2 linked regions of the Alligator mississippiensis genome follow. The protein of the gene in region 1 purifies or fractionates together with the protein of each later gene. This does not show direct contact. Links are inferred from orthologs where the notes say so. Each region holds a gene or a part of one and is shown in the gene's direction. Other genes may lie near its edges.

The links. The genes of interacting proteins can lie anywhere in the genome.
Region 2: the proteins of PSTPIP1 (region 1) and WAS purify together in Homo sapiens (affinity purification with western blotting; 3 studies listed by BioGRID and IntAct, with this or other methods). This does not show direct contact. The link is inferred for Alligator mississippiensis from reciprocal best matches to the Homo sapiens genes PSTPIP1 and WAS.

What each region holds. Positions count from the first base shown.
Region 1 is NC_081834.1:29,629,535-29,633,283, reverse strand, and holds the start of PSTPIP1 (proline-serine-threonine phosphatase-interacting protein 1), read left to right. Parts: upstream 1-1,217; 5' UTR 1,218-1,670; coding exon 1,671-1,703; intron 1,704-3,749. UniProt on the Homo sapiens protein: Involved in regulation of the actin cytoskeleton. May regulate WAS actin-bundling activity. Bridges the interaction between ABL1 and PTPN18 leading to ABL1 dephosphorylation.
Region 2 is NC_081831.1:28,376,729-28,380,477, reverse strand, and holds the start of WAS (actin nucleation-promoting factor WAS), read left to right. Parts: upstream 1-1,241; 5' UTR 1,242-2,093; coding exon 2,094-2,207; intron 2,208-2,582; coding exon 2,583-2,723; intron 2,724-3,386; coding exon 3,387-3,473; intron 3,474-3,749. UniProt on the Homo sapiens protein: Effector protein for Rho-type GTPases that regulates actin filament reorganization via its interaction with the Arp2/3 complex. Important for efficient actin polymerization. Possible regulator of lymphocyte and platelet function.

The sequences.
Region 1 (3,749 bases):
CTGTACAGTTCGCACTTGGATCCACCTAACTAGGCATCTAAGAGTAAGATGCAAATTGTGGGTGAACTGAGTTAGACCCAATGGCCATTTTTAACGTGATCTACCCCAGTTGGCCAAATGATCTGCTGGATCTTTACAGGTATTGCTCTCGATTCTTCAGTGAGTACTTTGGAATCCTTGAAAGATAGATACAAGTGCTATTGCTGTTTCTATATGCCAGGCTTAATTTTTTTCTAGCAGAACAGCAATTGAATTGAGCACATAGAGGACCAGTTTGGAATAAGTGGTTTGATGAAGGGAGCTTTCTTGTATGGGATATTTTTTCTCTTGAAAAGTTTCCCTTTTCAAATTCCAGTCAGAATTTTAAAATACAAAAGCTCTCAAAAGTTTGAAAGAGATTAACAAAAATTGCACTGAGTATTACACAATGTGAATTTGGAAAAACACAGATAGACTGCTTTTTCAAGAAAGCACAGTGATCATATTTATCACTATTAACATACCTATAAATCTATTAACCTATCTAGCTACTTGTTTTAAATAATGTGCACTTCAGTGCTTCAGTGGGTGTGGTGTTGCATGCTGCCAAATTAAATGTCTGTGCTTCAGAATGTTTAACTTCAGATCTCTGTGCTAGTAAGTTTTTAACCCTAATTTCTCCCTCCCTTCTAGATTTCTACATAGTTTGGAATTAATTTCTAAAGCTCATTTATCCAGCTTCATTGTGCATATAACAGTCACTTCCTTAGCCTTTTATTTACAGATGACATAGCACACATGAACAGTTTGTTTTTTGCTAGCTCTCATTTTACTCAATTATCACATTTTTAAATTTCTTATGTAGTAATGGCAGAAAAGCTCTGGATTACCATTCAGATGCTAGCATGTTTCTTTTAGTAAACACACTTACACACATGCATATTTACAAACATTTGTATGAAGAAGGTAGTTTGCAAATCAGAGAAAAATGTATATAAAAAAGAAACCTTATGATTTCCTTAGTTCTGCTGGAGGATTGAAAGCAACTTGCAGTTGCAAAATATAACTATGTAACTACACTTCCTGTGTATGCATATGGACTTTTGCCAAGATCAAAAGATTCTAAAGAAATGTCATGCATACATTTTTTGCAATACTGCTATAGTGTGCGGCTGTTTGAATCTGATTTCTTCTTTATCTCTTTCTATTGTGCTGGTTTAATTAATTTTGTTATTGCAAACTCTCCTCCTGTAGGTGATCAGATACTCTCACCAATTTCTTTTTCTTTTTTCTTTTTGCCAGTAGCTTACATGCACACATGACAAGAAGCAGGCTGACATCGCTTGACATTTCTCTGCTTCCTCATTTCAATATTAACTGTTTACCAGAAGAGAAACAGGTCTGGGGCTAGGGTGTTTCTCTTTTTTTTTTTTTTTTTTTTTTTTTTTTCTTGTGAGTGAGGATTTTTTTTCCCTCTCTGTTCACAGTAACAGATCATGACACAGAGCTTCCTCAAACTGCCCAATGCTGTTTTTCACCAACTTGAATTTAGAGCAAACAGGAGTGTGGAAGTATTTAACTTTCTGCTGTAGCCGGTGCATGGTAAGGACTGCAAAGCTGAGTGCTGCTGCTAATCTGTTCTCAGAACAAACCAGTTGAAGGAATTTTCCCCCCTCCATAATTCAGTAATAATGACACAGCTGCAGTTTAAAGATGCATTTTGGGTAAGTGTACATTTCCTGTTCTAAACCTTATTTCTACATCTAAGTTTTGTTTTGGATTAATTTACTACTGCTTCATGCTTCAAACTTAGTTTAGCAGCAAAATTAGCTTATACCCGTCCAAAGTTAGACTGTTTGCTACGATAATCATTTGATCTTAGAAAATGTGTCCAATTCTGACTGAACTGCAACTGACATTCTTTATTTCTAAGCTGTGGAATCCAACCGTTTTGAAAGAAAAAAGGACTAGTTTGTCGTGTAGTGTCAAGATCACTTGTTTTTTGGGAGTTTCCTCAGGTTTTCAGGCAGGGTAACTGCAAGCAGGTGAACCGTTACTAATTGTGTTATGAATCCTCTTCTACTTGCTTTCAGAATTTTAGCAGCCTTAGCAGAACCAACCAGGCGCACAGACACCATTACGTCTCACCTATTGCCCGTGTGCGTATAATGCGGTTATATGTAAAAAAGGCATCCATGAGGTACTATAAGTCCCATATTTCTCTAAACCAAAAATAGTTCTGGTTTAAAAATTTGTAGTCAGCTCTCCAAATAAAAACCCAGTAATATTTCTTTTGGGAAGATATATTTTGAGTCTTTCTAGTTGCCTTCTAATATGTGAACCATCACAATATTCCCGTGTATTGCACATAGCAGGGTTTCACCTGCATAAATCTTGGGATGTGTCTGTGGGAGGAAGCAAAACTTCTATCATCCCCTCACCAGACCTGAGGAGAGAGGCCATTAAATTCAGTGCAGCCTCAGTGCTGTATTCCTTTCTGTGTAGCAACTCCCTTTTGATGAAGCGGAAGGGATGGACCAAGGATGGCACTGAGTGGGGAGATAAGAGAAATGTGAGCCAACTTTCTTAGCAGATGACTTCCATTGGAGCAGTGATGCCAAGGAGCAGTAGAGGGGGCATGCAGTAGGCTTTGGAGCTGTTGTTGGAGCACAGACCCTTTGCACAGATGACCTTGCTCCGCGGTGAATGCAAGGAGATCCATACCCCAGACGGGCTGATGTCTAACACCTGTGGCACCTTCTCAGGGCATGGAACCAAATCCTGCTCTGCTTTTAGCGAGTGAAATTCCCTCTGAGCCCCTTCCAGAAGGTTCTTCCCCAGGATGAGGCTTGAACTGCTAAAAGAGAAAGAACCAGATGCTGCAAAAATTAAAGTTCCTATTATAATGTTAATGCAGCTGGGATGCACCAAGGAGACATTTTCTAGTCCTGCTTTTATGTTTAGTTCAGTGAATATATAAGCAGAATATACAGGAAATGTACAGTGCTGCTGGAGGGAGCCTTTGGATTTCCTGACTGTGTTTTAAATTGGGCAACCTTTCATTTTACATTAATGCCTTTTCTTTTGTATTCATTTTCTAAGGGGCTGAGCTTCACTTGGAAAAAATCAGGATAGCTCTACAGACTTTGGTGCAGCTAAACTGATTTATGCCAAATGATGGCCTGGCCCACACCAGTGTTTTATTGTGTTTTTCTCATCTCAATATAACAAGGAAACTCATTGTTGGTATTCATTAAAGTTAGCATACAAATAATCCTAAGCAGGCTTTGAGGTTTGTGATTCCTTAGAGTGAACACACTTTCCTTTTGTTATCATTCAGCAGGAAACAGTTTGTTGCAAGGGGCTTGAGTTAGATAAAAGATATCCATGTGGTTGTACTATGGTGGCTTTATCATCTTAAAACTAATACTGAAAATTTACAGGATATTGCATAATGTAGCAATAAAGTACAACCTCTCCCTAAAATCACAAGGTCAGCAATTATTTTCACACCCATAAGTTGCTGCTGCACCCATTCATAAGGCAAACATATATTTGTTGCATCTGTTTCAATGAGTGATTCAATCTTTTGTGTATATATTGTCCTGACCCAGGGGTGGGCAATTATTTTGGGCAGAGGGCTGCTTACTGAGTTTCGGCAAGCCATTGAGGGCTGCATGACAGGCAGCCCAGGGCAGATTAATATTAATTTTCTAAATGTTTTAGGGGCCCCGCAGGCTGGATAGAATGGCCTGGCAGGCCCCGTCTGG
Region 2 (3,749 bases), on another chromosome or scaffold:
CACTGCAACTTTTCCAATGTGGTATCAATTGAACTTTAATAGTAATCCCTAGACCAGGATGGTCCAACACGGCCCATGGGCCACCATGCGGCCCTGCCAAGGCATTTTCTGAGGCCCACAGTGCTGCAATGGGAAACGAAAGTAAACACTGTTTACTTTTTTCCTGCTCCTTGTCCCTCCCCTGTCACCTCAGCAGCTTCCTAATGGCTGCTGAAGGGCTAGGGAAGGGACAAGGTTCCCACATGCACCGTGTCAGCTTGACATTGCTGACGCGGTGCATGTGGGAAGAGGAGTAGCCATGTGCCTTTCAGGACAGGATGAGCCCAGCCGGAGCAGCAGGGGCTCAGCTGCACTTTCCCCCTTCCTGCGCCAGTCAGTCCCGAGTGGCACATGGCTCCACTGCTGCCTCTGCTGGCTGGTGCTGACCCGGGTGGGTCTGTCCCATCCAGAGCAGCATGCGGCTGAAGCCAGATTCCCCCGTGCTGCTGGGGACGGGAGAAGGCCGGCCAGGTCAGCTCCAGCCAGCAGAAGCTCCAGCAAAGCCGTGTGCCGCTTGGGACTGACTGGCGCAGGCAGGGGGAAAATGCAGCTGAGCCCCTGCTGCTCTGGCTGGGCTCGTCCCGTCCCAAGCGGCACATGGCTCTGCTGCTGCTTCTGCTGGCTGGTGCCAACCTGGCCGGCCTCCTCCCGTCCCCAGCAGCACATGGGAAGCCAGCATGGGGGGCCTCGGCAGGCAGGGTCGTGGCGTGACCTCTGCGGGGCGAGGTGGTGGGAGCCAGTGTTTGCCGAACCCCGCGCTCCAGGCTTGCAGCACTGAGACCACTGAGGCTGCAGGCGGCCAGGCACCATGGTGAGCAGGGCCGCACGGGCAGGCGGGTAAGGGGCTGCGGTGCAGCGGCCATCTCGCTCCAGCCCCCCTCAGGCAGCGCCGGCTCGTGGGGCTGCGCTGCTCGGGGGATGGAGATGTGGAGCTATTTATTTCTCCCCTTCTGTCTTTGGGGCAGTAGCTGGCTGGATGCAGAATGGGTCCCTCCTGCCCCTGCCCACCAGCAGCTACCATGAACCTTGCCATAACAGGCAGGTGCAGTAGGGCTACACAGGCAGGGTCTCTTTGGCCCAGGACAGAGGGTGTTTGAATATGGCTTGCCGGCCCACTGGGTGATAAAAAGTTCATGATCCGGCCCCACATTCAAAAAGGTTGGACACCCCTGCCCTAGACAATATTACAGGTTTTCTCCCCATAATACAACCTGGCAAGTGGCTCCTTAGATGCTACAGCAGTGACCCTCAGGGGTACCAGGACTCAGGTCCTCCACTGGGTGTGTGGGCTCTTAGTTTCTGGTTGCTTCTGCCTCCCCAGAGATACAACACAAAACATACATATTCCTTTGTTTGTTCATTACTTTTTAATTGTTTCATTCCAAATAGTCCAATCCCCTGGCTCTGTGCCAAGCACTTTTTACGTGATTCACCAATCCCCTGGCACTGTGTCAGATATATTCCTTATAGGGAAACTCTTGTGTCTTGCTCACCTAGTGCCCAAGCACAGCACTCGCCTCTCCCAATGCCACAGAAGGCGTTGTGTTCAATTTTGCTGCTTAGCTCTGGGAAGGCCTGGACTATGGCTAAAAAGCCTTAACATAACTCAGTTTGCCTGTGACACCTGGTGAGCTGTGGAATAACCTATCCATTGGCCGGTGTCGGAGAATGCTTCCTATTGTACCCTGGGATTCTGGCTTCAAGATTGTAATTTCTCAGACTTGTACTAATAGTTGATAGCCCATCTCCCGGCCATCTCAGTTTAAAGCCCTATCCAGAAGGTATGCCATTCTAACCAAGAAAAGCTTCTTCCTCTTTGGTGTGAGGTGGATGCCATCTGTTCCCAACAGGCAGTCCCTGATGTGTGTGCCGTGGTTGAAGAAATTGAAGCCCTCGCAGTAGCACCAGAGCCGGAGTCCTCTGTTCATTTATTCTATGCATGTCACTTCCCCCTGCGCTGCCTGGTGGTTTCAGAGCTTCCTGCGGAAGTTCCCTGGGGTGCGGCCAGGCCCAGAGGGACCCGAAGACCAGCTAGGGCCAAGGCTAGAGCCACAATGAGCCGTGGGGGCCGTATCGGGGCCCCAGGACCCCAGGACCATGTCCCCTCCTGTCTCCTCCAGCCCCATGAGAACCAGCAGGTGTTCGAGCTCCTGGGTCGCAAATGCCTGGTGAGGCCTGGGGGGTCTGTGGGTTAGAAGTGAGAGGCACCATGGAAGGGGCGGGGGGCTGTGGGTTGGGAGTGAGAGGCACCACAGGGCTGAGGGTTGGGAGTGACGGACACAACTGGGCGGGGTACAAGTCAGGAGTGAGGGGCATGAGGGGATGGGCTGCGGGTAGGGAGTAAGGAGTGCCATTGTGGGGGCTGAGGGTCAGGAGTGAGAGGCACCACTATGGAGTTACTGGGTACCACTATGGGGGCTGCAGGTCAGTAGTGAGGGACACTGTTGGGGCTGGGAGGGTGCGGGTCAGGGGTGAAGGGCACCACAGGATTGGGGCTGGCTGCAGGTCTAATGCTCACCCCCTGTGGCCTCCCCCACCCTCAGACCCTGGCTACGTCGGTGGCTCAGCTCTTCCTGGCGCTGCCACCTGGGGCCCGGGGCTGGGCCAAGCAGGGCTGTGGTGTCGTTTGCTTCGTCAAGGACAACCCGCGGCGCTCCTATTTCATCCGCCTCTATGACCTGCAGGTTACTGTGGGACCCCATCTCTGGGACATCCTCCCCAGCCCCCACCTTCCCTGACCCCAACCCTGACCCCTTATATTGACAGGGTACCCAGGAATCTGGGACCCCAAACCCCCACCCCCCGACCTCAACCCTGACCCTCTAGTCTAGATGTAAAACCCAAGCGTCCAGGACCCAGACCCCCACTTGCCCAAGCCCCTAGTATGGGTAGAGAACCCAGTTATCTGGCCCCCTAGACTCCTCCCTCCAGTCCTTAGGGTGGGAAGAGAACCCAGGCATCTGGGATCCGGATCAGCCACAACCTCTAGCACAGGCCAAGAACTCAGGTGTCTGGGCCTATAGCCCCAGTCCCTAACCCCTAGGAAACACAGGGAACCCAAGCATCTGGAACTCCAGCCCCTCACCACTTCAATCTTTAGCATGGGCTGAGAACCTAGACATCCAGGAGCCTGGGACTGCCTCCCCCTGCCCTCCCTGACCTCAAACCTTGACCCCTAGGATAGGCAAGGAACTCAGTCTTCTGGGTCTCCCCCCAACCACCCTTTGAAACAGACAGGGAGCCCAGACATCCAGGCTCCCAGCCTCCCCACCCCTCCCCACAACCACAACGCAAGCCAGGGAACCCAAGTATCCAGACTAAGTCCATCCGTCTGTCTATCCACGTAGGGGTCACAGCTGCTGTGGGAGCAGGAGCTCTATGCCCAGATGACCTACATTGCTGCCACTGCATTCTTCCACACCTTCCCGGCTGACGTGAGCATCTCTGGATGCCTGGGTCCCCACCTGGATGCCTGGGTCACATCCCAGTTCTGGAGGGGGGCAGGATGGAGCTGGGAGCCCAGATGCCTGAGTTCTTATCCCAGTTCTAGGAGGGGGCAGGTCTTGGAGGGATTGGATCTTGAACACGTGGGTTCTCAGGAAAGGGTTGGGGGGGAGCAGAGGCTGGGAGCCTGGACACCTGACTTCCCAATCCGTTCTAGGAGGAGGAGTGGGTCTGGGGGGTAGGCTGGAGCTGAAGCCTGAATGCCT